7 linked regions of the Callithrix jacchus genome follow. The protein of the gene in region 1 purifies or fractionates together with the protein of each later gene. This does not show direct contact. Links are inferred from orthologs where the notes say so. Each region holds a gene or a part of one and is shown on either strand. Other genes may lie near its edges. The genes, in order: NRP1, FAM241A, CSNK2A2, KDR, UBR2, PLXNA1 and BCS1L.

Region 1 (4,000 bases):
TATTGTTCAGCATAGATTCTCATTGTCACATTTTTATAATGGATTTCATACTGGAGTGCCTCAGCCTGAAATGCTGCCACATTTATTGATGCTTAATTTTGAGCAATAACAATTTGGGGCATAAACTATCTAAGAGAAACAGGTATGAAAGCAGTGAAATATATAAGCCTATCAATCACAAATTTTCAGTAATGGTATATAAAGATTTTAACATTGAATCTAATAGATTCCCTGTGGAAAGAGAATGGCATTCTTTGCTCTCAGCGTGAATTTATAAATCTACAGAATTTTATTACAGGAAAACCAGGTCAAATGGAAATGAAAGATGAAGTGCACATCAAAAATGCATAAAGCTACAGGCATTACAGAAATCATTTCCCATAAATTAAAAAGAAGACAATATAGGTTATACTGTTTTTCTCAATTGCTAGGTGCTTCTGACCTTTGTTCCTTAGACTAGGGGTAGTCTTATATTGGTTTCCTTTGCACTGGCTTGTAAAAGCCTAAGGTTTGCCAGGAAAAAATTATGTTGCAACTGGAGTTCAAAATCTCAGCTAACGGTCATGTTGGATTCTGTTATGTGATTCTACTGAGACTCTTGCATTATTCTGAATGTGCAGAAAACTTGGAAAGTGACCTCGTCTCATTAAGTCTCCTCCAGCTCTGGACAAACATCATGGTAGTGTCTGGCATCTGTTACAGGAGTGAAATAAAACAGCACTGGTTCTAGTCACTCGACAGAGTCACTTCAGAAGACATTTAGGTGGACTTGGTACCACACCAGAGCTCTTTAATCTGTGACTTCTGAGAAAGTGACAGTGTAATAAGATAATGTGGACTGCTAGACTCCCTGGCTCTGTTAAATCTCTCTAGCAGTTGATTAAGAAAGAGCAATTTCTAATGACTCTGGACCATTAGTCCTAAATAAGGTTAATGAATTAATTTAGCAGACACTGGTTACTGGGAGGAGGTGGACATGGCTTTAAGAGAACTGCTGAATTACAGAGGCATTTTCTGGCTCTGGTCACTTCAAGCATAGCAACATGGCTTTCGCTGGTCAAACTCATCAACTGAAGCCAGATTTTCAGCATTCCCCAGATTTCTGCTAAGAAAATTAAGAAGTGTGTGTGTGTGTGTGTGTGCTGCATATATATTTGTGTAGCTCACAACCTAAAGTCTGAAAGCTCTTTGCACTGAGCCTCAAATCCTTCCTGTGAACACTCCCACTATGGATTCAGACTCAGGAGTTGTGGAGGACAGGGGGTTACTATCATTTCTAGTCCAGCCATTAGAGCTCTTTCATTTGGACGAGAACGCTATTTCATTCCCTGCCAGGATATAGAAAGATGCTACCAGCTCAGGTTCATTAATAAATTGAACTCTACATTCACAATTTCCTGTGTTTTGCTTTCCTGCCAGATTATAGAAAGATGCCATCAAATTGGGTTCATTAATAAGTTGAACTCCATGTTCATAATTTTTTTTTTTTTTTTGCATGTGTTTTGCTTCAAGCATCTCTTTAGAACACTGCTTGGTAGCTGCTGAGGGAAATTCATTGCTGAAATCACAAAACCTTGAAAAAGCATATTAGAGAGATTAACTTCCATCATAAAGATGTGATTTAAATTCCTGTTGGTATGAGGCCCTCCACTTGCGGTCTCTTATTAAAACAATATACCACAGTAAGTAGTGGATGTTCTTTTCTTCTAATTACTTTGATTGAAATCTAAGCCAGACAAAAGTAAATATTTGATCATTAGTTAATAACAATTGCTGATGACTTACTGTAAAGATAATTGCTTACCCTTGCCTGCACTTACTTTATAGTGTGAAGTCAAACATGCCTACAACCAGATCCCATTTTAAAACACATTATTTAGGTTACATGGTACTGTTTATACCCAAGGATAGTTTTTCATTTACTTAACAGTGAGTGGTTTTAAAAGCCAAGTGGAAGCTGCAGCTAGCATAGGGATTTTCAGATATCCTGGTGCCTTTACACCGTATATATCAGATTCCTGTATTGATACTATGTAACTTTCAGTCATACTCCAGACAGATTAGGAAAGATATCAAAGGCGGGGGAGGGAGTTTTATCAACCCACAAATCCATATCTATAGCCATCACCCACCAGAAGAAACGGCTTAGGGGCACAGCAAAGGAACCAGGAAGTAAGATCTCCTGTAAGGTGTTCATTAACTTTCAACAGCCATCAGATTTTTGAAAGGGAGTCTCTTCTAATTGGCTTTGGGAGGAAACATTATTAAGATAATTGGATCTGGGAAGGCAGGCAGCTCTGTCTTGTAACAGAGGTAAGGAAAAGCCCCACAGCCCAATGATCAACTTCAGGAGGGAGCCCAAGGACCTAAAATCCTCCTGCCCTAAAGCGCCTGATCTCATTTCTTCGTCTCTCCTCCCAGATAAAAGTTTCCTTTGCCCCAGAGTCTGCTGTTCCCGGCAGGTCCCGGGCAACCCGCGTAAGCCCCGGGCCGGGGCGGGCGGCTGGGAGCCGGGACGCCGCTCGCTGTCACCCGCGCCTCCGCCTGTCACTTACCGTTGCGAACAGCGCCGGCCGGGGCGAGGGAGAGGGTGAGGGCGAGGGCGAACGCGGCGCAGAGGAGCGGCAGCCCCCTCTCCATTCTCCCTTCGCCAGGTCCGCAGGCAGACGCGGGAGAACGAGGACGAGGGGGGAAATGCAGCAAAGAGGGGAATCTAAGCGATCGGAAGAGCCCCAACTCCGCCTAGAGCTGTACAATCCTCAGGCCGTCTTGGAGAAAGGAAAGCAGCGAGGCAATGCCTGGATCCGAGAGGAACGCTTCTCTTTTTGTGTCTCAAGTCGCCTGCATCCTGTCATTTAGCTCCGGCTTCCTCTCCCTTTTCCCACACTTGTTCCTCTTCCAGGAGCCACTGCCCGGGCCATGTCTCAAAAAAGGCGGGGGGGGGGGGAGTGTGGGTGGGAGGGGGAGGAGGGACGTAGGGCAACACACACCAAAGCCAATTTCCAGGAAGAAAAAAAAAATCCGGCTTGTTTCTGGACCCGTTGGAGCCGTGGAGCTGGCGCCCAGGGGAGGTCCGGGTGTCTGCGGGAAGGAGAGGAGCGAGCAATGAAAAGATGAGCGGGAGACAGAGGAGTTTCACCAACTGCACTCCCGCCTCCCCTCCCGCGGCCTCCCCCCACTCTGGAGCCCTTCCCTCGCTTCCTCCCGCCCCTCTCCCCGCTCGGGCTCGCGGGTAATTGCCTGACAGGAGACTGGGAGGAACAACTTTCCGTCCGAGTGCTCTCCCCGTCCGTCTGTCTGTCTTTCCCGGAGACCCTGCAGGGATCTCCGCGGGAAGGAAGGCGCTGGGGGTCTGCGCCCCCGGCGCGTGGGTGCGGGCGCCGGAAGAAGGGGCGCGGAGGTCGGTGCCAGCCGCGGGGTCTGGCCAGCCCACCTCGCGTGCTCGCTCTGCACCCCCAGAGGGAGAGCTAGGCAGCTCCTGGAGGCGCAGATCCCGCGGCCGCGCAGTGCGGAGCGCCCGGGAGGTGGCGGCTGCTTCTTGCAACTTCAAATCCCGGGGCCCGCGCCCGCGGCAGCGAGGATCTCAGGGTCACCCTCTGCCACTCCCCATCGCGCCAGCCTGAGACTTGTGGAGGGGAGCAGCGGGGCACCCCTGGATGCCCCCGCCCAGAGCTGGAGGATAAGGAGGCGAACGCCGGGCTGGAGTGAGAGCCACACCGCGAGGCCGGGCGAGGGTCGCTGCGGTGTGAAGCCGAGTCAGACAGCCTGGGTTGGGGAGGCCGGGCTGAAGGCCCACGCAGCACCCCTGGCCCGCATTAGGGCACGCGGCTGGATGCCGATCGCGCCGGGGTGCCCTCTGCGCGTCGCAGAGGTGGCTTCATTGTTTCCTGAGATTTGGGGCCAGCTCCTCTTGGGCAGCTGGAACACCGGAGGGTGGGAGGTGCTGCGCCTTCCAAGCTGGGGCAACCGCCGCCTGACCCCGCCCAACCTGGTCTCGGAG
Region 2 (4,024 bases), on another chromosome or scaffold:
AAGAAAAATCAGTAAAGGAAGGGATGTATGTGAAAGAGGCTTTAGCTTGAGAAATAACCCAAGAAAGAAATCTCCATCAAATAATCAGGAAAGGGCAAACTCTGAGAAGGGAATAGAAATAGAAAATTAGGTGTTGGCCAAAATCAACTGAAAGAGCTAGAGGAGCACGTCAGATACCTCTGGAGCTATCGAGTTCAAGAACACACAACCATAGCTCTTTTCTGGGTTAGAAGGAGCCTCTGCTAGCTCCTGCCTCTAATTTCCTCTCAATATCCATGAAGCTATCAGTGGAATACCAAGTGAGCCTGCCAAGTAGAAAACATGGCAGGAAGATGGCCTCTGTCTCATTTCCAGCTACTTAGTTTTGGTTCTGTTTCTGTTTATATCATTGTTTTCATGGAAAAGTTCACCTTAAGTTCTAAGTCATTAACTTAGAAAAACCAATCTTTCAAAAATATTCCATTTGTAATCTGGAGTCCTTGTATCCTCAAAACAACCAATAAGACAAACAAAAATCATCTCCCTAAATAAAAACTGAATAAAATGAGTCCCTGGGATATGCTCCACAGTTGTTAATTTCATTTCTCCCTCAAATGTCTTTGCCATGTAATACTGTTTCTACTATCATCACATGGCAATGTGTAACAGTTTTAAATTTCATTTACAGGACTTGAAAAAAACTAGAAAACAAGGCTTTGTGATAATATTATCAAGAAACAATTTATCAGAAAAGCTTGCTTTTTACAAAGTGGGTTTGATTGCACCAATTTTTTGCTTATGTTTGTCTTCTTGATAAGTTCTTCTTTGGTGCTGATGTAGAAGGAAATGCATATCTGAGTTGTGATTTTCAATTACTGTGTATGGGGGCTTAGAATACATTCACAAATCTTGAGATAAAAAGAGAATGATAAAAATAACACTTCAAAGGAATACAGGAAAATGAACTTTCATGACAGTCAACGAAGGCAGCAGGTATGCAAAGTGATATCTGTTTTCTAAGATACTATTTCATTTTTTGTTTTATTCTTTTACTTTGTACCATAAGCAATTTTGTAAAGACCACAGCTATTGGTGATGTCTACATAATCATACTAATGAAGTACACAGAAGGTAAATGAAGTCTTTTACATGATCTCTTGACTATTTGAAAATTTACTTTGGAAACCTCTGCTCAAATGCACACCCCTCCCCCATTCCCCAAAGGAATTCTTGCTGTTTTCTTCACTTTTCTAGTTGAGCAATTTAAGTTAGAGGAAACCAAGCCCTTGAGCAACTGAGTAACAGTTAATGGGAAAAACCACTAGGAAGGGTATCAGAAGAACCAGCTATCAAATTATTTGCTTGAGTTACTTTCTCTTATATTGTCACAGATGAAAAATCACACTACACGTGGTGATCAATCCTAACGCTAAGGCATATATTGTGTGCCACACAATGTTATTCTGTTTCCTAAGTAATATATTGAAACAATAGAAGTTATACATCTATAATATATTTAGTGATGATATTGGAATTTGTGAAATGTGACAGAAAGGCAGATGGAGAAAGATGAGGAGAGACAGGTATTAGCTGTCCTAACAGTACAGGCTGTAATAAAGGCCAATAATCATTTGAATTCCTGCTCCTTAATGTGATTCTAAGATCGGCTTATCTCGGTATTTGTGAAAGTCTAAATACTGTATTTGCTGTAGAAAATTCAACATACAATTCAGTTTTTAAACTTAAACCTCTTGCCTAATCTTGATGATATTTGATGTTATAATGCTCATTATCACACTTTATTTAAATGAGATCAAACTCAGGGAGTTTAAAAAATTACCCAACTTCTTTTCCCTTATTATGGCGCTGGCCTCTTAAACTTCTTTCTCTTCAGTATAATACTAAGCGAAAGCAATATTCTTGCCTCTCCACTTTTTAACTGAAGCTTTGATCTCATCTGTGTTTATGTGAAGAACTTGCTCTGGGAGAGTCCCTGTCAAGACATCCATTGTAACACCCGCTTCCTACTCATGCTTTCAGCGCGGCCCGTGGACGGAATCCACCCACACCTTCCAGACACGTTAGGTGTGGGTTCGGAAAGGCCAAGATGGAGGGCGGGAGGGGAGCCGCCGTCTCCTAAACCCGGCGCAGGGTACGGACTGGAAGTTGAAAAAGAAGTGTTTTCGAGTGAGGTTTTTAAATCAATCACAGCTACGGAAGGCATTTCCCCCGAGCCCTGGGCGCCGGCCTGCGAATCCTCTGCCGGGCGCCAGGGGACTGGCCACGCTGACCCCTACAGACACGCGACCCCGGGGCCAGAGCCGGCGCCGGCGTCCGCACTCGCGCGACCCCGCGGCCCCTCCCGGGCGCGCCGTCTAACTGCTCCCGGAGGCGGCTTCCCAGAGCGCCGCGGAGCCAGTGCCCCACGCGGGGCAGAGCCGCAGCGCGGCCCGCAAGCCGGGCCACTTCCTCCACCGCCCGGCGGGACTCGCGGCCCCCAGCCCTACCGCGCGGCCGCCGCCGCCGCCCCTCCCCGCGCTCACCTGCTCGCTCTCCTTCAGCTGCTGTCTGCGCCGCCGCGGACTTGCCCCGGGCTCCCGCTCGGTCCCTGCCGCCGCCCGCTCCTGTAGCGCGTCCCCGTCTTCGTCGCGGTCCCCGCCGCCGCCGCCCCGCAGCAGCTCCTCTGCCGAGCACATCCCGCCGCTAACTACTGCCACCCCGGACGGCCGCCTAGGACCACGCCGGGCGCACCAGGCAGCGCCGCCGCCCGAGGGCTGTTCTGGGATCGGCCGCACCCGCCGGTGACAGGAGCCTCCGGAGCGCGCCCCGCCGGCCCGGGCGCCTGAAGTACCAGCCCGGCCCCTCCTGTCACTGGCTCGCCCAACCCCCGCCGTCGGGGCGGAGCCATATGGAGGAGGGGCCAAGGCAGGGGGCGGGGCCAACTGTGTGTGTGTGTGTGTGTGTGTGTGTGTGTCTGTGTGTGTGTGTGTGTGTGTGTGTGTGTGTGTGTCTGACTGAGAGAATAAGGGGGTGTGTGAGAGGCTGGATATAGACTGCATAAGGGAGCTCGTATACAATGAGTCTGTGTGTATGACGGAGATTGTGTGTAAGAGATTATTAGAGAGTATGAGAGAGACACTGAGCATGATTTGTGTGTGTGTGTGAGAGATTCTATGTAAGAGAAACTGCGTATAAGAGATTGTATGCACTTTGGGAGGCCAAGGAAGGCCGATTGCCTGAGCCCAGTATTCGGAGACCAGCCTGGACAACATCGTGAAAACCCCATCTCTGCTAAAAATACAGTTAGCAGGGGCGTAGTGGCGCACTGTGGTCCCAGCTACTCAGGAGGCTGAGGTGGGAGGATCGCTTCAGTCGGGGAAGCCAAGGCTGCAGTGAGCAGAGAGTGCACCACTGCACTACAGCCTGGGCGATAGAGCCAGACCCTGTCTAAAAAAAAACAGAAAGATTTTATGTGTATACTAGAGACTCTGTGAATCAGAGATTGTATGAAGGAACAACAGAAACTGTGAGAGACCAAGTGTGAAGGAGAAACTACTTGTGTGAGACAGCCAGTGGATATATTTAAAAGAGAGTGCATTTGTGTAAGAGATGACAGTGTTTGTGGGTTTGCATGTGAGAGAGAGAAACACACACATACACCCAGTTACACTCTCCAGCAGGGTCCCCCATTCTTGCCTGAGTAGCTGCCCATCCTTTTCAAGGCAAACACATTTCACTGTCCCTCTTGTTCCTTTAGCCGCCTTTCCTAGTGTCTCTCTGAAGGTCTGTGTCTTTGTCCCTTTCTGTTGAGTGCTTCCTAGTGTGTGTTGTTTGTTGGAGGGTTGGATGGTTTGATGGTGTGTCAAATGGTGTATCTTTCTATAACTGGGTAAGAATACGTCTTTCTCAGTGGGTGGTAAGGGGAACCTATCAAATTGATAATTTTTTCTGTACTTCCCCATCCATTTTGTTCAAGGAAAATAGAGAGGTGTTTAAATAAAATATCACATTTTTTGTGTGTATGCCTTATCTGTACACTGAGAAA
Region 3 (4,043 bases), on another chromosome or scaffold:
TCTTGCAATTCTGCTCCTTCATCACTAGGCTAGGATGTATTGAGTGATGGAGTTGATCATTTTTCTGAAAGGTGATTACCAGAAAGCTAACATTGACCCCTCACATTAAACAGGGATTACCTATACAGCTGCCCTAACACACAGAAACAGCTTTTCAATACCACATTCTTAGTCCACAGAACCTCTGCAAAAGGGCCACACTGGAAATCACATGTATACAAAAGTGCTTACATTACTCTTCCATCTTCTCAATCTCTCACTGAATGACACGTGCCCACATGAAATAATCTGGCAATAATGAGGACCCATCAAAGATTCTACCAATTACTTTTTACCACACCCTATAAAACATTATTAAAGCTACACAATTAATCTTTTACCTGAAGGAAAATTTAGCCGACCCTTCATGCTCATTAAAATCATCTTCATCAAAGAGATAACAAAAGCACAGCATTATCAAACTGAGATCGCTAAACCATATGTTAAGAGTTTTGTTCCAGTGATTACTTTAGAAATCATAAGTGAATTCTATATTTTTACTAGCTGATAAGCAACAAAGGCTCTCTGGCTTTCTAACAAGGCTTCTCAGCCCTACTAGTGCACTATATCCACGCCACCTGAAACTTTACTGCCAAAGAAGAAAAAACAAGTGATTATCCACTAAGGAATTTCCTTCAACTTGGGCTCGCAATACATCTCTGAAGTCACTCCAGTTTTGTCCAGCTTTCTTTATGGAATAAGGTAGATCACGCACCAAGAGTAACAAACAGTGCTCAAGGAGACCTGAAATTGAGAATGGCTTTTTGGTCTTTTGAATACCTATTTATTTTCTAACAAATGGAGCCCTTTTGGAATTTCTGCTTTAGGCACCTATAATTTACATTTTAGAACACCTTCCTGAACTTAAGAGTTGGGCTTAGATTTGTGACCAGTCTGCACATTTCCTTGAAAGTTCACAGGAAAATGGGGTGGAAAAAGAAGTAATGAAGGGTCATCAGAGAAGTAAAATTTGAGTGTGGGCTGGGCACAGTGGCTCATGCTTGTAACCCCAGCAACTTTGGGAAGCCTGCAAGGAGTCGTTCTGGAGGACTGCTTGAGCTCAGGAGTTTAAGACCAGCCTGGGCAACATGACCAGACCCTGTCTGTACAAAAAAATTTTTTTAAATAGCTGGGCATGATGGCATGCACCTGTAGTCCCAGCTACTTGGGAGGCTGAGAAGGGAGGATCACTTGAGCCCAGGAGTTGAAGGCTGCAGTGAACCATAATCTGCACTCCAGCCTGGGTTACAGAGTGAGACTCTGACTCTAAATAAGTAATTAAATTCAAGCTTGCACTGCCCATTCTAGAATGTGACTGGGGTAGCTTACATCCTTTTGCCCTGTGGGGGAACAAATGTTATTTATCACTCATAGGACACTCACCTTGAGGATTTTTACAACCACTCTCTCATTGTTGGTGATGTTAATGGCCTCAAATACTTCACTATATTTTCCCCGACCAAGTTTTCGAACCAGTTGGTAATCATCTTGATTACTGTAAAAGGTAAGAGACAGACACACATAAATGCCAGGACTGGGGGTTAGCCAAGCCTATGCCCACTATACACGTCATCCAGCCGCTTCCGCCAGGCAAACACTTGGAAGTGTCTACACATCACGTCACAACTCATTCCCTAAATGAAAGCCACGACGTAATCTTGGCTCCCTTCACTCTGCAGAGCTCCTAACCTAACTGGTCTCTCCTAACTTGGGAAGATGGGGTAGAAAGGCAACGCTCTGAGCCAATCCAGAGGGGCGAACAAAGCACCCGTCCTGAAGGCCTAGAGGGTGCCCCCTCTGCCCCGCGGCTTCACAGCACCTGCTTCCCGTTTCACACCCTGAAGGTAGACAATCCCTGTTTTAAAAATGTGGACGTCTTTAAGAAATTTCCTCCCACTACCTCATCTCAGAAAACCGAAAAGGCAGAGAATTTTAATAGCTCCAGAGGACAGCTGTTGACTTCCCACCCTAGTGGAAACCCAAAAGTGTGAGAAGGGCTGCTCCCTCACTTCCACCCAGCGCCGATCCGTGCACCCCACACTTCTCTCCGAGTAAAAAAATCATTCCTTGGGGGAAAGGGGTGCGCAAAGCGGGGAGAAAGGGACGAAACCGGGGTAAAGGGGAGGGAAGAGGAAGACGAGGACATGTGCGAGAGCGGGACCTCTGTCTCCAGCGGGGCCGCGGAGGGATCGGCGGGAGACACCACCCCGGCCGAGTGCGGGTCGCGGGGGGCGGCCGGGCGGAGACAGGGGTCAGCGGGCCCGGCGGGGGACGGCGGCGGCTTTACCCCCAGCTCGGGACGTGAGACTCGTAGTCCCAGTACTCGCGGCTCCTCAGGCTGTTCACCTCGGCGTAGACCCGGGCCCTGCTGCCCGCGGCCGGGCCGGGCATGGCGGGCGGGACCGGGGGGCGGCGCGGGGCGCAGAGGGTGGCGGCGGCGGCGCGGCGGAGGGCGCGGGGCGGCGGGCGGAGGAGGCGGCTGGCCGCCGGGCTCTGGAGAAGGAGGAGGAGGAGCGCGGTAGCGGGCGGCCGCGCCAGGCCGGGCCCGCGGGGGCGGGCGGGCTGGGGGCGCGGGGGGCGCCGGCCGAGCCGGCCCGGCCCTGGAGCGGCCGGCGGAGCGGCGGGGCGGGCGGCGCTCGCGCTCCGCGGCGGTCTCCGCTCGGCTCGCGGCCCCCAGGAGGCGGCGGCGGCGGCACCGGCAGCGGCAGCCACCGGCCGGGAAAGGGGCAGCGGCGGCAGCAGCGGAGAAGAAGGAGGAGAGGAGGAGGAGGCGGAGGAAACCCGGAAAAGGGGCCGCGCTCACGGGGAGCGGCCGCCGCCCGGCCTGGGGCCGCCCAGGCTCACAGCGCCCCCTGCAGCGCGGGGGGACCCGCCGGGCGGTGCCGACCCCGCCCCGGCCCCACCCCAGCACGCCCCGCCCCCTCCCCCGCGCCCTCCCCCACCTTGGCCCTCCCGCTGCCCCAGGCCGGGCTGTCCAAATCGCCTCACCCTCCGGCTGGCCTTACCTCACGCCACAGGAGCCCCCACTTCCACTGGCCGTTGCCTTAGAACCCTCCCCTTCGAGTCCCGACCCTTTCAAGATTGTCGGTGGAGACCCTGCCCCCAGCTCTGCAGTTGCCCAGCTTTTACCCCCACACACCTCCCATACCCTCTTCTCGCCCAAACTGTCAAGTCTCTCTCCAGGGCCTCGCTCAAACCTCAGAACCTCTCCCACCTCAATACTTCTCCCTTCCCCCGAGACGTACCCCTCCTTCCCCCTCTGGACCCTTCCCTGTTCCCGCAGACTCCTCAGTCCCCAAGACTTCCCACCCTCTTCATTCAGAGTCCTCCTCACAAAACCCTTATACATTTCCCCCAAAAGCCCCTCCAGAGCCTTCCCTGAGAACCCTCTGAATACCCACTTTGGTCACTTGGTTAAGCTGGAGTCGGCCAGGTTGTGCCACCGCAAAGTTACAATTTTTCCCTTTGTGATTAGTAAGTCGCTTGTGGGGAGAGACGTTGAGAGTCTGTAAATCTCCTGTTTTTGTTGAGGAGGAGGGAGAGCAGGAGAATGTAAATTTGACCTGAAGGGACAGACTGAGATTGGGTATGCACCGGGATGGGTGGCCAGCTGAGCTGGCCTGGCTTCCAGTGTTGCCTGCGGCCCTGGACACTCCTCTCTTTTGACATTCTAGGCCCTTCTTCTGACTTTCTTTCTCATCCAGCATCCTTTCGCGACACAACCTCTTCACCCAGTCCAGGTTGCTCTGATTCCAATCCCTTTTCACATTCTGTTTTCTGGATGAAACTCTGGGCCTTCCTCCTTGACAAAGCTAAGAGCACAGACTGTGGAGTCAGATCTATCCAGTACTGCTGCTTACAAGCTGTGTGACCTTGGGCCAATTATTCAACCTCTCTGTTTCACAGATTCTACAGCATAAAATCAGTAATAGCACCCACTTCACAGGGCTGCAAGGAGAACTAAACAAAATAAACCATGTGAAACACTTAGGATGATGTTCAAT
Region 4 (3,500 bases), on another chromosome or scaffold:
AAAAATCATGTTTAATAGTGATTGCATTTCGTTTAACATTTAGGAGTCATTGATATCTTCAATGACAAACATCTGAAAAGCTACCATTCCAAAGACTGAGAAGAAAACTGAAGAGATTCTGGCCAGGTGCAGGGGCTCACACCTGTAATCCCAACACTTTGGGAGGCTGAAGGGGGCAGATCACTTGAGGTCAGGTGTTTGAGACGAGCCTGGTCAACATGGCAAAACCCCATCTCTACTAAAAATACCAAAAAAAACTAGCCGGGCATGGTGGCACGTGCTTATCATCTCAGCTATTTTGGAGGCAGAGGCAGGAGATCAGTTGAACCTGGGAGGCCAAGGCTGCAGTAGGCTGAAATAGTGCCACTGCTCTTCAGCCTGAGCAACAAGAGCAAAACTCCATCTCGAAAAAAAAAAAGATTTTGAGGCCATTCAAACATTACTCATCCAATGTTAACACACTGCTGGAAAACTTGTCCATTTCCCAGAGATAGAGACGATGTGGTGTGGAGTCATGCTTGAAGTCTCAGAGAGATAGCATTTCACATTGCTATGCCCAACACATCTGATCAAGCATTTTCAGAGTGCTTCATAACAGTGAGTCAAAGAGAAGAAAGAGTTAATTAAACCACGGGGGGACAAAGGCAGCTAATTCCCTGCAACAGCAGAAGTTTGATTTCCTTCCCAGCTGGATAGCACAGAAAAGCAGCCAATCTAGCCCACCACATGCCATAGCCATTATCTTATAAGGCCAGGGCTGACTTCCTGGCTCCATCCATTGCTGAAGAGAATGGGGTCAGAAGACTAGGGAAGTAAGGTGGGGATCGGAGGGGACATTAAACACCTATCCATAGAGAATACTTTAGTGTTTCCTTTCCCATTGTTTAACTTCATGGCCAAAATCTTGGACAGCCCAACTCCTAGAACTTTAGGCTTAGACAGGAAGCAGAATTTAATGGTATACCGAAAGACAGGCAGCGTACCAGTAAACAGTGCTAAGGATTGCTACTTCTTAGTATTGCCTACCTTTCATCCAGATGTTATGAAGTGTTACATAACTTGCTTACAGAACAAGCCTTTGGAAATTAAATTAACCCTTTGACGTAACACTAAACCTGTTTAGTAAATCAATTCTATTTCAGTATCTCAAAAGAAGGAAATAAACAAAAGAAACCCAAACAACCACCCATCCTCTCAAAATAAAATATTTACTGAAATTCATGAAATGAATTTTCACATGTCTCCAAGTTTCCTGACTTAGGGAGAAGTAAATAATGAGATATTATGGGGGAGGTTCATCTTGTAGTATTTCCAGACAGGCTAAAAGCAGGAAATCCTCGCCCTCGTCTGACAGAGCTGCATCTCCCAAGACTGCCAGATCAAAAGGAGTCAGAAATTCTCCAAGATCTGAGCCTTGTCTCTTTCAAATCCTGCAGAGGGGAGGAGGAGGGCACAGCATTCTATCTTGGACAGTGCTTACTCTGGCAAAAATAATTCTCAAATATCATGAATCTAGTGGCATAAGTTATTTTGACGTGGTCTCCACTTTTTTATTGCACTAACCATATTAGACACTACTGAGATGTAAGCAGATATATGCCAGTGTGTTTCCCAAAGCTGATGAAATTCTTGCCCTGTAAAAGCTGCTTCTGGGAAAAAGGTCTAGGTCATCTTCACCTGTCTCAAATACTCTGGGATGTAAAGAGGCATATACATGAATACATAAAGTGTCTGTTTATCTTCACTGAAAAGAAAAACGTTTGGTACATCCAAGCAAACTATGATGCAACCCTTACATTCCTCAAATTTATATCATAGAAATCTCATTATTTAAGTCAGGTTTTCACAGAAAAAAATAAGATAGTGTAAGATTTTTGAAACACAAAGAATGCATAGCTCATGATAAATATTGAATATGTGTGACATTTATTTTATACTATATGGTTGTTAAATCAGCCTCCATGGTATCAATCCCAAGTTGCAAATCCTAGAAAAATATGGTATATCATCCAAGATCTCAGACTAAACAAGCAAAGGAAAGAAACATTGTCCTCGAAAGACTCTTTGAAGCAATGTCTTTATTTGCACATGAGTATGGGAATTGTTTTTTATGAAGTATTAGTAAGAAAAAAAAAGTTCCTATGTGCAAAAAAACTCCAGAGCTCTTGGCAAAAATGCTTTCCTATGAATTCTTGGGAAAATCTTTTCTTCTGCTATAGATAACTTGTCTCTCCACAGAAATCTCTTCATAATTCACCCCCAAATCTTCCTCAATTTCAAGAATTTTAGGTTGTCTTCTCAAACATAAGAAGACTTTTATAAGTCTCAGTGGCCAATAGTGAACACGAATTTACCCTGGAAACAAAGATCAATCCCAAACGAATTGGGCAGAAGAGCGGTAACACAGCCCGAGCTCTAGAATCAATCAATGAGTCTTATTTCTCAGAGGAAGCCTCAAGAGAGAAGAATTTTCTGTATTCCACTTGACAAACAGCCTTTAGAGCAAGCTCTTTCTTGTACTCAATTCTTCTTTGAGGCTATTGTCTTTTATAACTGGTAAAGAGACGTGGGAAATGAATTTTATTTCACCACTTACCTTGAACATAGACATAAATGACCGAGGCCAAGCCAGTTTCCCGGTAGAAGCACTTGTAGGCTCCAGTGTCATTTCCGATCACTTTTGGAATTGTGAGTATCTTACAGAAGAGGCCATCACTGCATTCAGTCACCTCCACCCTTTCCTCGGTGCTGCTCTGATTATTGGGCCAAAGCCAGTCCAAGTCCCTCTGTCCCCTGAAAAATTAATTTCAGGGAGGTATTAAAGTGAAGTGCCTGACTATGAGGCTATTTCTAAGAAAAGAGAAACTTTAGTTCTCAAACTTAAGTAAACTCTTACCAGACATAGTCAAAGTCTTCTACCGGCCAGGCATGGTGGCTCAGGCCTGTAATCCCAGCACTTTGGGAGGCCAAGGCAAGTGGATCACCTGAGGCCAAGAGCTCAAGACCAGCCTGGCTGACATGGTGAAACCCCATCTCTACTATAAATACAAAAATGAGCTGAGCATGGTGGCACATGGCTGTATTACCAGCTACTCAGGAGGCTGAGGCATGAGAACTGCTAGAACCAGGGAGGTGAACATTGCAGTGAACCAAAATCATGCCACTGCACTCCAGCCTGGGCAACAGGGCAACATCATCTCAAAAAACAAAAAAAAGTCTTCTACCAACAACAAGTTGGATCGACATATGATGGAAAGTTACAAACTCAGAGGTCACTTACAGAGATTCCTGAGTTTTCTATTAATTAATACATTCTTTCATTCAACAAATATTTATTAACCATCTACTACACGCCAAACTTGTTAAGGACTGGAGAAAGAGCAGTGAACAAATCAGACAAACATCAATGTCTTTGTGGAACCTCAGTCTAACTGGAGAAAACAGGCAATTAAAGAATAAGTAAAACTGATTGTATGAAAGATGGTGTTTAGTGCTATGGA
Region 5 (3,500 bases), on another chromosome or scaffold:
TACCAGTCTGCAAGGTAAAGGACCAAACAATGGTTTATCTTCATCACTCAGAATTCTTTCTACGAATTAAAGATGGTTAAAATGGTAAATTTCACGTTATGTACATTTTAATATAATTGTTTTAAAAGGTTAAAAAAACCCAATTCTGCAGACAGTACAATATTGTCAGGTTTCAGAATCTTCAAAGTCATTTCACAAGAATTAAGTTTGGTTACAGAGTAAAAATGAACAGTACATTTCTTCAACTGACAAGAAGCTATAACCACCACCAAGAGTTCTCTGTTGCTGTGGTTAATTTATGAACTATCAATCTAGTATTTTGTCAGTACACTACATTTCTTGCTTCTCAGTCTTTTTATTATTATTTCTTCATACTGTTGCCCACTTTAAACACTTCATTTAAAAACACGATTCTATACATAATTCATATCAACAAATGCTTGTGACTTACAGAGGAACAGCTGTAAATCTCTTACCTATGCTTTGGATGGTGTATGCACAGCTACCCCAACACATTATGGGAACACGAGGATCCTCCTCATTGGGATGAACCTTTAGTCCCACCTTGTATGTAGCAGTTCCAAATGTCGTTAGCATTTCTTTTATGCTCTCAGAATAAGGGTTCCTGAAGTAAACATGTGTAAAATTAGCTCAGAACAATGCGCACATATCAATCAAATGGTTCAGTTTCTTAACAGCTTCTTGCTATATTGAAATTGAACCACTTAACATGTATCCAGAGGTAACTGTATGCAAAGTGATTAGAGATATGCAAACTGCCCCTGCCCAAGAGGAGTTAGGCTCTTTGATGTAGCAGGGGTGAGGCACAGGCTGAAAGCAGGGTGCTGGGCAAAGGTCTACAGGCTAAACAGTGAGATCCTTGACCCTGTTTCCCATCCTGAGAACATCAGCAGTGTATACCCCCTGCCACAGAGTTTAGTTTTTCCAGTGAACAATCCTCAGGGGAAAGTTGTTTTTACACACTGACATTTGGGGGTCACCAAGTAAAAGACTGGACGTGTCCTGAGCACCTTTACTGTGAGGCTTACAAGTCAGCAAGCTCCAATCTGTCCACCAGGTATTCTTATGCTCATTGGCTTAAGTTATCCAAGGACCAATAAGCATTTAAGGAAAGCATCAAAGAGATAAACCAAAACAAAGAAGCAGAGAAACAGAACTCAGGAAAAACAGACAATGTAGAAAGTTTCACTTACAGGAAATTAGGGTATCAGTTCAATAGGTCCAACAGTGAGCTAATAGAACTACCTCAAAGAACAAAATCCAGTAGAACATTATTTAAGAAACAACATAAAAAATTCTCAGAAATGGATATGGGGCTGGGCGTGGTGGCTCACACCTGTAATCCCAGCACTTTGGGAGGCCGAGGCGGGTGGATCCTGAGGTTAAGAGATCGAGACCATCCTGGTCAACATGGTGAAACCCCGTCTCTACTAAAAATACAAAAAATTAGCTGGGCATGGTGGCGCATGCCTGTAATCCCAGCTACTCGGGAGGCTAAGGCAGGAGAATTGCCTTGAACCCAGGAGGCGGAGGTTGCGGTGAGCTGAGATCATGCCATTGCACTCCAGCCGGGGTAACAAGAGTGAAACTTCATCTCAAAAAGAAAAAAAGAAATGAAGGATATGAATGTTCAGATTCAATAGGTTTACTAAAAGCCTAGCAACATGAATAAAAAAAGATTCATATAGCAAGAAATATCACAGAAAATGTCAGAACACTAAAGAGATAAAGAGAAATATTTTAATAGTTTTCAGAAGTAACAGAGTTATTAGCCCGGGTGCAGTGGCTCATGCATGTAATCCTAGCACTTTGGGAGGCCAAGGTGGGTGGATCATTTGAGGTCAGGAGTTCGAGAATAGCCTGGCAAACATGGTAAAACCCTGTCTCTACTAAAAATACAAAAAATTAGTGGAGCATGGTGGCGCATGCCTGTAGTCCCATCTACTTGGGAGGCTGAGGTATGAGAATCCCTTGAAACTGGGTGGTGGAGGTTGCAGTGACCTGAAATTGTGCCACTGCACGATCTTGTCACTTCATCCTGGGTGACAAGAACGATATTCTGTCTCAAAAAAAAGAGAAGTAATAGAGGTACAAAGGAACCAGGCATGGTGGCTCACGCCTGTAATTCCAACCACTCAGGAGGCTGAGATAGGAGGATTGCTTGAGCTCAGGAGTTCAAGGACAGCCTGAACAATGTAGACAGAACTCATATCTAAAAAAATTTAAAAAAAGTGGCTGGGTGTGGTGGCTCACACTTATAATCCCAGCTACTTAGGAGGGTGAGACAGGAGAATTGCTTGAACCCTGGACACAGAGGTTGCAGTGAACCGAGATCGCACCACTGCACTCTATCCTGGGTGACAGAGTGAGAACCTGTCTCAGAAAAACAAAAACAGAGTCGGGTGAGGTTGCTCACACCTGTAATCCCAGCACTTTGGGAGGCGGAGGTGGAGGGATCACGAGGTTAGGAGATCGAGACCATCCCGGCTAACACAGTGAAACCCTGTCTCTATTAAAAATACAAAAAATTAGCCACGCATGGTGGCCCACACATGTAGTCCCAGCTACTTAGGAGACTGAGGCAGGAGAATCGCTTGAACCCGGGGAGGCAGAGGTTGCAGTGAGCCAAGATCTTGCCACTGCACTCCAGCCTGGGTGACAGAGCAAGACTCCATCTCAAAAAACAAACAAAAAACAAAAATAGTTACAAAGGAACAGGAATTAGAATGGTATTAATTTCTCAATGGATATAAAATTTAGTAAAATAATAGCTTCAAAATCTAGATGAAAAGTTACTTCTAACCTATAATGCTATACCCAAACTATCAACTGGGCATATGAATAAAATGAACATATTTTCAAACATGAAAATATATCTTCCAGGTATCTTTTCTTAGGAATCTGCAAAAAGAGCAAGTATTTAAGAAAGAGGAAAACATTCAATCCAGAAAATAAGAGGAGTGGGGCCAAGAGAAGTGACAGCTGTCCCCCATCTTGACTGCAAGGGTGATGGTATTTATTGCTGTACATTGAAAGAAATCTAAGAGCCACGTGGCATGTTTAACTCTCACCTCTTTCTCCCAGTCGGCATTGCTGACCCCCCCACCACACCCCTTTCTCTACCTGGCTCTCCTTGACAACATCTAATCAGCACCACAGCTTATTAACTGTGCACCCTTTGAGATTACAAGTGTGCACCACTACGTCCAGATAATTTTTGTATTTTTAATAGCGACAGGGTTTCACTGTGTTGGCTAGGCTGGTCTTGAATTCCTGACCTCAAGTGATCTGCCTGACTTGGCCTCCCAAAGTGCTGGGATTGTAGGCGGGAGTCACCACACCCGGCCTGATGCATTTTCTATTCAAGTCTTATAGGTCTGTATTTATTGAATTACTTAGTACATAACAGGCACAGGTTCCAGGTAGCTTTAGGCACATTATATCACTTTATTCTAATAACATCTATGAATTATCCTCAC
Region 6 (3,500 bases), on another chromosome or scaffold:
TACACACTGACCCGTGTTCAGGAGAGGGGCAGGTCTCTGTGGTGGTATCTGGCTCAAGCTGCTCAGGACGGGTGGACTGCAAGACTGGCACCCCCTGGGGCCAAGTGCTCTCCTCGGGCCTGGCCAAGGACACGGGGCTGGGTCTGGCCACAGTTAGCTGTCCCTTAAAGTCTGTGGGATCTTCAGTACCATCAAAAAAGTGACCTTGAAAAGGGGATGGACCGCTTGTTTGCTTTTACAAGTGACTGATTAATTAAAAAACATAAAAAAGGGTCTAACAACCTCTAGTATTCAACACTTGCAGTTTTAAAAAGATCAACTCAGACTAAACGCTAGCACAATCATGCATGCCCCGCGGGGCCGCGGCACCCGGAGGCTCTCAGGGTCAGCAGGAAGTCCTTTCCTTGTCACATCAAACCAAAACAGCGGCTCGCAGGTTGAGGGCACAGGCTTCAGGGCTGCTCCGCTCCAGGGAGGCTCCGGCCACTTTCTCCACAACCATTTGGCATTGTTTTCCCACTGCCTTCATTTTCTTATTCTAAATTGTCTTTAAAATTCCTCTTCAGTTAACTGTACAGTACCCCACTGGGGCTGGAGCCTGAGGCTAGAGCCACATATATATATGTGCATATATATACATGTACAGCTTTCTTTTAAGAATGCATTCTCTCTTGCTGAGGGCAAGGGTGGACACCACTGGCCTCCAATCCTTCTGGTCACTGCCCGTCATTCATGGCCCAGATAGATCCAGGCCACTGTGGGCTGGAGGGGCTGTGCCACAGAACTCAAGACCCAAGCAGAGTGCAGCAGAATTTTTTTCCCCTAAAAACAAAACAGTCCCCAGATGTCCCACTGCACTGGAAGGGCCAGGACACTGCTGAGATGCCACACTGGAAGCCGCTGGGGCAGGGAGTGGAGGGAGAGGAGTGCTCAGGGGCTGCCCTCAGGGGCTCCACAGTGGGGAGCTCAGCCTTACCCTTGAAGGCAGCTTCCAGGGCAGCCCGTGTAGGACTCGAAGGGGAATAAATAACGGGAACGTGCTCTCTGTGACCCGGGGCCCCTGGCCCAATGGCTCCCAGAGGCACAGCCCTGAGGACAGAGAGGGGCCACCTGGTCCATCTGGAAGCCACCCAGGAGTCTGAGCAGCCCGACCCGCAGCCCCTCCATAGGAGGGAGCATGGCCTCTCTGGGGCGAGGTGGATGTGGCATTCCAGCCTCTGCCGCGCAGAGCACGCGGTGAATCTGAGGATGGCAGCGGTACAGCGGGCGTGGGTGCTGGATGGGGGAGGCGAGTGCCAACAGGCCCAGACCAACGTGGGCTCCTCTTGCCCAGCCATGGGCTTTTGCTTCTTTCTCCAGCTGCCAACTGGGCCCCTGGACCCTCAGACTCTGCCAGCTGGGGGCAGCTTGGGAAGCTAGGAATGCTGACACCCCTAGCCTCTTGTCCCGGTCTCAAGGGGACAGCCCAAGCTGGCTACCCCTCCCCCTTGGAGGGTCCTGGCCTCACCCCTCAGCCCCTTAGAGGTCAGCCCTTCTCTCATGAAGGCCACCAGGCAACTCTTGCCAGGCAATGAAGGTCCTTGGCCGGCCTGGGCACCCAGTGCTGCCCCGGCCCCTGAGCAAGCAGCTGTGTGCACAGCTGTGGCGTGGTAGGTACCTTCACCTCCACATAGGAAGAGCCGGGACCCGGCCGGGCGAGACGGGGGAGGGAGGGCTGGGCAGTCGCTGCACTGCGGCGGCTTGAGCGCCACCAGACACTGCACACGCATGCAGCGAGGGATGCCCTGGTCCCTGCTCGGCCACCCTCGTGCTGCGTCCTGCTGGACGGTCACAGCCAGGGCTCAGCTGCTCAGGGCCATCGTGTCTACCACCTGCTCCAGCTTGCTCCGCAGCCGCTGCCGCCGTGCCTGCTCATCCTTCTCCAAGGCCGCCAAGATCTGCAGGGCCAGGAGAGCTGTCAGCATACTGGGCCACCGGCCTCCATACGCTCAGCAGGCCCAGGGTGGATGCCTATGGAGCAGGTGCTGGAGGTTCAATCCCATCTATTCCTGGCCAAGGGACCTTGGTTGTGAGCCTGGACCCCCAAGAACCCCATCATGGAGGATGAGCCCTACCCCGTCATCATTCCTACCCTCGCCCCCTAAAACAGCAGGCTCTGATCCCTTGGCTGTCTGGCCACACTGCTGACATGTCGCCACTCAGTCCTGACACCCCTTTAATACATGGCCATCTGTCGTGGGTGCAGATGAGTCTCCCCAGGGAGATGTGGTTCTGCATTTGAGATGTGCCTGGGCTCCTGTGGCTGCCCCTGCCTCCCAACAAGGAAAACCTGGAGCCTCCCCAGAGAGCCTCAGTTCCCCTTGCCCTGGTGAGCCCCAGGACCCCAGGCTTTTGTTCCCACCCCCCACCCCAATACACGCAGTCTCTGGCTGCTCCTCTGTTCCTCTGGGGTGCCTGACTGAGGACGGCCCTCTGCCTCCTCTCTGTTGCCTGCGGCACCCTGGGAAAGGCTCCTTGCCTCTGCTGCACCTGCCCCAGCTTCCCCAGGGTGGCTCTGGTTCAGTCCCATAGCCTCCTCGGCTCTCAGGCCTTGGCACAGGCCAAGCCTGTCCTGCCTTCTGGCCCCTGCTCCTGTCCCATGCAGCCCAGGAGCCAGTCCTTCTTCCTGGATGCCTCCTGGAGCCTGTCCCCAGTTCCACGTTCGTGGATGACAAGGGCTCACTCCAAGTTAGCAGAAAAGACACTGAAAGGGAAGCTCTGCCAAGAGCCTATGCCCAGCCCTGGAGACGCCGGCTCAGCCTGGAGAGCCCCGAAATGAGCCCCTCAGGGAAGTTGCTTACCACCCCCACCCTCCACCTCAGGAAGAAGCTGCCATCCCATCTTCCTTATCCCTGACCCCACATGGCTGCATACAGTGACTCCACTATAGCCCTCTCTTCTCAGCCTGGCAGGCTTCCTCTTGGCCCCGAGGAACTAGGTAGCCAGCAGGTACAGAGGAGCGAAGGTGTCCCATGGCAGCCCAGAGATTCAGGGAGGAGCTGGCAGGGCGGGGCAGAGCCAGTGGCTCTGGTAGGGTCCTCCCAGCCCAGCTTTCGGGCTCCCACAGTGCTCACCTCATCCTTGTACTTGGTGATATAGGAGTAGATCTCATGCAAGGCGCTCATGCTGTTGAACTGGCTCAGGTGCAGGCGGGACTGCTCTGCCAGGTATGCGCTCATGTCCTGGTCGCTGATGGCCGGCATCTTGGCGATGTCTGCATAGTACCTGTGGGTGAGTGGCCAGGTGGGCATATGAGCAGGGTCCGCACTGCCCCCCAGGTCCCTGCCCCGACCCCTGCAACCTCCACCCACCTCTCCACCCAGCTCTTGTAGTTGGGGATGTCCTTGGCATAGAGCAGCTTGTTAGAGGGCGAGTCCTTGCCCAGCTTGTGCTCAGAAGTAGAGCAGGAGTCCATGAAGGTCTGGGCCACCACCGACAAGCAGGCATCCGTGATGCTATTC
Region 7 (4,088 bases), on another chromosome or scaffold:
TGCTCCAGTTCCCCAGCCAGGGCTGTGCTATGGAGGATGGGATGGCAGGAGGTAGCAGGCAACCTGGAAATGCTTCCTCAGGCCCAGCTACTCTCCTCTCAGTCTGGGGATATGTGTCTCAGAGGCTTAACTTCTAGCTCACACCCTAATGTTCCACACATTTCATGTTTATCCCGGCCCCTGGTCCCCAGATTCACTTCCCTTTCCAACCCCATCAGCCCAGTGTTTTCACAAAGGCTTAGTTTCACCAAGAGAAATTTTGACTACTCACATAAAACTGCTCTTTCCACAACCAGGGGGCCCATAAAGCAGGTAGCCACGTCTGTAGGGAATGCCTAGGGAGAGCCAGGTTGATATGGATTTTGCCCGATATCCACGTTCATTCCCAGCCCTGCCCGCTGGAAGCCTGATAACTGGTAGGGAAATAAATCATCCTCATACACAACTTTTCATTCCTCTTAATCTCTGGGAATTGGACTAGAACTTTCTATCACCCCATCTGGCCAGAGACCAACCTGTCCCCTCTAAAATGTCAAAAATAGCACAGCCAAGATCTTAGCTGCTTCTTACCTCTGTCGGTGTACCACTTGGGGTTATCAATGAATTCCCGGATGTCTCTGACAATTCGGTCAGCCAGACCCTGTTGTAGAACCACAGAACTCAGTGGCCGCCGGCGGCGTGGATAGCCAAAGGGACGCCATTCAGAGCCTACAGCTGTGTACATCACGGTCTTCCCTTCCTCCTGCTGCAAGGCTAGCTCTCGAGCTGAAAAGGAAAAGATGAGATAAAGCCAATAATTCTCTTCACCATGGCTGATTCTTCGATTAGGTGGAGCTATGCCCAACAGCTTCCTTCTGGCCCCGTGCTCCCCTGGGCTCACCCTGGTCTGCTTATTCCACCTCTCCAAACTGCTTATCCTCTGATGTCAAATGTCCCCATCCCTGCAATGTCCCTAGAAAGCCTGCCTGTGCCATCCCACACCTTCCTCCAGGATGTTGAAGAAAACCTTTCGGTCAGTGCCCAGGGCCGTGAAGGTGACAGATTCCCAAGGAGTCCCCGTCTGCAAGTCTATCATCTGCATCTCTCGACTTCGTTCTACTCGGATCCATTTCCCCTGATACCTGAATAAGAACAATCAAAACAGAGTGAGTGAATGGTTCAAACCCAGCTCCCATCATTTTTTTCTACTCTCACAGCCCTCCCTGGCTCCCAACCTTACCAGATAAAGTGGTTTCCAGGGCTGGGGACAAATTCAAACTTAGTGGAAATGCGGCCACTCTCATGCTGAAGGTACGAAGTCTCCACACTGAGGTGCTGAGTACGGGTACTGTGGCGGGTGAGCCAGCTAAGCAACCAAGCATAGCTCCTGTCTCGAGCAGGGACTTCCAGTGTGATCATGTAATGGCGCCGGAATGCCACCAGGCCCAGCTGGGCACCCTTCCGGGCCAGGGCCAGGACTGTGCCCACACCCACCAGCCCAAATCCAGCCCCAAAGTAGGGATTGTCCTTCAGGGCCAGAATAAAGTCTGAAAGTGGCATCTTGAAAGGGAAACACCAAACCTTACCAGCCCTGGGGTGTTGCAAAAACCTACGAGTGGGGAACAGTGGAGATGGGACAAAGCAAAAGATTACTTTAAAAATTGGACCTCTCCAGCCCTGCGCACAGGTTAGCACTACTCTGTTGGTCAATATCCTCCTTTTGTGGGGTAAGGGTAGTATTGGAATGCAAGGGTGAAGACTTGCATTCCATGCAATGCCCCTCATCCCATTTTGCCCTTCATTACTCTACTCATACCTGTTTCTTACCAGAGGACCATGTCTGGAGATGCCTTAAACCAAAAAGAGCAATATAAACTGGCTTCACATCAGGATAATGAATGGACAGGATTTTTGTGGTCCATGGTACCAGCTTTTATAGAAAGGGGCCCACTAGCTGGAGTCAGCAAGGGGGAAGCATCCATTGATTTGTCAATAACTCTATGCCTTGTTACCATGAGTAACGTCCTTCAAATATCCTCTCCCTTACGTTCCCAATATCTAATGTCCTGTTTAGACCTTTATTACTTCCCACCTAAACTATATTTAAAATTATAGTTCTTGAAATGGCACTTTTTTCTTCACCTCCTGCTTCACTCAACAGCTACACAAGGGTCCGGATCTTTCATCATAGGGATCAGCTCCAATTCCATCTCTCTTTCTGCTCCAGTGCCTTCAATGGCTGGGGGTACAAATTGAGCCTGGTACTCAAGGCCCTCCGCAATACGGCGCACACCTACCTTTCATAGATTAGTTCCTAACACTACCTGTTCAGCAAATATGCAACAAATATGTTCAACAGATAAGCAACCTCCCACCTCCTTGCTCATGCAGTTCTCTTGGTTCGGAATGCCGGTTCTTTTCTCCCTTATCCTCCCCAACTGAAACCTACCCATCTGCTACTTTCTCCACGGATCGTTACACTGTAGACAAATAAGATCCTGAGGGATAAGCGCAAAGTTGTCTCTAGTACACCTGTCCTCCAACCCCGAACCCCGGCCACTTTGCCTTGCACCTGGCATGCAGGGAGATGAGCTGACAGCAGTGACCTCGGCTGAGCCTCAGAACTGGGATCCAAAATTCCAAAACACCTATGCATGGAAGGCCACAGACAAAGCTCTCCCGTCCCCTCCCCCTCCGCGACACCCAGAAACCCCCTCCTGAACCTCGCCCACACCCCAGTTCGTGCCTCCAGCCACATGGTTTAGGGCAACCAGTCACTCCGCCCACTCACCGCCATGACTCTCTGGCCCTCCGTCTCGTTGGTTTCACCGCACCCGCACTTGGGGGAAGCAGCGCTCGGCCCCGCCCCGAGTCCTTTCATCTACTTCCCGCCACACCTACCGAGAAGCCCACGCCACTCTACCCCAGAGCTCTCGATGGTGCTTCCTCCGACTTCAGGGCTGGAGTAGGGGTGGAGGGCGGGGAAAAACCACAGAGAGAAAACATAGAGCACCACGGCAGCCGGCAAGCGGAAGAGAGAGTGGCTTCCATATCCCCGATATACTAGAGGCTGCTGGGCCGGAGGCGGTCGCACAAAGTGGGCCCGGGCGGCCGCTCCAGCCACTGCCGACCATAGAGATGCGGCTCCAGCCGGCTCTGGGTCCGGAGGTGAGTGAGCGGCTGCGGGGCGGGAACTGGGAAGGGAATCGGGGGTGGAGCGAGCCGGAGGCAAAGTTTTTCCAGTCAAGGCATCAGGGTGGGCCTGGACCCTGGGAACTCTCGGGAGGAGGTACTGAAGGGAGCACGCAGAAGAGCTGGGCCCCGGCGCCGCAGTCGCGTCATTGCTCTGGACCCCGCCCGGGTACCCGCTGCTCTCTGGAACAAAATCATGAAGATGCTCCATCCCAAGCCTTCCAGGTTACAAACCGCCTTTCCAGTTCGCTGGCTCTTGTGATCCAGCTCCCGCCCGAAGATGTGGACACTGTCATCACCTCCATTTTACAGACAGGAAAGCTGAGGCCCAGAGAAGCTAGGCGACTCTGTCCAAGGCCACGCGGAGAGTCAGAACCCAGCGGCAGGTGGGAACCCGGGTCCCTAGGCCGGGGCCCGTTGTTTCTCCTGGCCTTCTCTCTGCCTTAGTCTGTCCTTTCTTTTCCTCAGTGCTCCTGCCCGGAAGATAACGCGTGTTTCTTCTCTCGTGACTATCGGTCTCCTATCTCACCCTCCCCTCCCGCGGGTGAAGAAGGTTCTTAATCTTGACGGCTCTGCGTCCTCCTTGGCTCCCCCCGGAGGCTATGAATGGCCGAGCCGGAAGATTCCCCAGAGCAGCGATAAAATTCAGTAAGTGGAGGCTGCGGTTTACAGAGAATCCCTCTGACCGCGAGAGTGCCCTTCCCAGCCACCTTGTGAATCCCTGTGAGCCGCTGTTTTGAGTCCGTGGGATTCTGGAAGTAGGGACAGTCAGATTGCAGGATCTTGCTTTCTTTTTTTTTTTTTTTTTTCTTTTTGCAACTTCTCTATGACTCAATTTCATAAAATGATTACTATCATTCTTATTAATTACTAATTATTCAGCTTAAATTCATTATAGCCGTGTATAACAGTATGCA

Evidence for each region.
Region 2: the proteins of NRP1 (region 1) and FAM241A purify together in Homo sapiens (affinity purification with mass spectrometry; 3 studies listed by BioGRID and IntAct, with this or other methods). This does not show direct contact. The link is inferred for Callithrix jacchus from reciprocal best matches to the Homo sapiens genes NRP1 and FAM241A.
Region 3: the proteins of NRP1 (region 1) and CSNK2A2 purify together in Homo sapiens (affinity purification with mass spectrometry; 5 studies listed by BioGRID and IntAct, counting the BioPlex papers as one, with this or other methods). This does not show direct contact. The link is inferred for Callithrix jacchus from reciprocal best matches to the Homo sapiens genes NRP1 and CSNK2A2.
Region 4: the proteins of NRP1 (region 1) and KDR purify together in Homo sapiens (affinity purification with western blotting; 7 studies listed by BioGRID and IntAct, with this or other methods). This does not show direct contact. The link is inferred for Callithrix jacchus from reciprocal best matches to the Homo sapiens genes NRP1 and KDR.
Region 5: the proteins of NRP1 (region 1) and UBR2 purify together in Homo sapiens (affinity purification with mass spectrometry; 3 studies listed by BioGRID and IntAct, counting the BioPlex papers as one, with this or other methods). This does not show direct contact. The link is inferred for Callithrix jacchus from reciprocal best matches to the Homo sapiens genes NRP1 and UBR2.
Region 6: the proteins of NRP1 (region 1) and PLXNA1 purify together in Homo sapiens (affinity purification with western blotting; 4 studies listed by BioGRID). This does not show direct contact. The link is inferred for Callithrix jacchus from reciprocal best matches to the Homo sapiens genes NRP1 and PLXNA1.
Region 7: the proteins of NRP1 (region 1) and BCS1L purify together in Homo sapiens (affinity purification with mass spectrometry; 3 studies listed by BioGRID and IntAct, counting the BioPlex papers as one, with this or other methods). This does not show direct contact. The link is inferred for Callithrix jacchus from reciprocal best matches to the Homo sapiens genes NRP1 and BCS1L.

What each region holds. Positions count from the first base shown.
Region 1 is NC_133508.1:32,987,594-32,991,593, forward strand, and holds the start of NRP1 (neuropilin-1), read right to left. Parts: upstream 2,801-4,000; 5' UTR 2,641-2,800; coding exon 2,556-2,640; intron 1-2,555. UniProt on the Homo sapiens protein: Cell-surface receptor involved in the development of the cardiovascular system, in angiogenesis, in the formation of certain neuronal circuits and in organogenesis outside the nervous system. Mediates the chemorepulsant activity of semaphorins.
Region 2 is NC_133504.1:85,062,829-85,066,852, forward strand, and holds the start of FAM241A (uncharacterized protein FAM241A), read right to left. Parts: upstream 2,801-4,024; 5' UTR 2,676-2,800; coding exon 2,523-2,675; intron 1-2,522.
Region 3 is NC_133521.1:16,079,386-16,083,428, forward strand, and holds the start of CSNK2A2 (casein kinase II subunit alpha'), read right to left. Parts: upstream 2,801-4,043; 5' UTR 2,431-2,800; coding exon 2,327-2,430; intron 1,884-2,326; exon of another isoform or gene 1,710-1,883; intron 1,535-1,709; coding exon 1,423-1,534; intron 1-1,422.
Region 4 is NC_133504.1:141,635,202-141,638,701, reverse strand, and holds part of KDR (vascular endothelial growth factor receptor 2), read right to left. Parts: intron 2,794-3,500; coding exon 2,597-2,793; intron 1-2,596. UniProt on the Homo sapiens protein: Tyrosine-protein kinase that acts as a cell-surface receptor for VEGFA, VEGFC and VEGFD. Plays an essential role in the regulation of angiogenesis, vascular development, vascular permeability, and embryonic hematopoiesis.
Region 5 is NC_133505.1:51,175,970-51,179,469, reverse strand, and holds part of UBR2 (E3 ubiquitin-protein ligase UBR2), read right to left. Parts: intron 626-3,500; coding exon 477-625; intron 60-476; coding exon 4-59; intron 1-3. UniProt on the Homo sapiens protein: E3 ubiquitin-protein ligase which is a component of the N-end rule pathway.
Region 6 is NC_133516.1:76,332,938-76,336,437, forward strand, and holds part of PLXNA1 (plexin-A1), read right to left. Parts: coding exon 3,351-3,500; intron 3,265-3,350; coding exon 3,114-3,264; intron 1,938-3,113; coding exon 1,842-1,937; 3' UTR 1-1,841. UniProt on the Homo sapiens protein: Coreceptor for SEMA3A, SEMA3C, SEMA3F and SEMA6D. Necessary for signaling by class 3 semaphorins and subsequent remodeling of the cytoskeleton. Plays a role in axon guidance, invasive growth and cell migration.
Region 7 is NC_133507.1:140,397,758-140,401,845, reverse strand, and holds the start of BCS1L (mitochondrial chaperone BCS1), read right to left. Parts: upstream 2,801-4,088; 5' UTR 2,771-2,800; exon of another isoform or gene 2,219-2,770; 5' UTR 1,765-2,218; coding exon 1,220-1,764; intron 1,122-1,219; coding exon 982-1,121; intron 766-981; coding exon 571-765; intron 336-570; coding exon 272-335; intron 28-271; coding exon 1-27. UniProt on the Homo sapiens protein: Chaperone necessary for the incorporation of Rieske iron-sulfur protein UQCRFS1 into the mitochondrial respiratory chain complex III.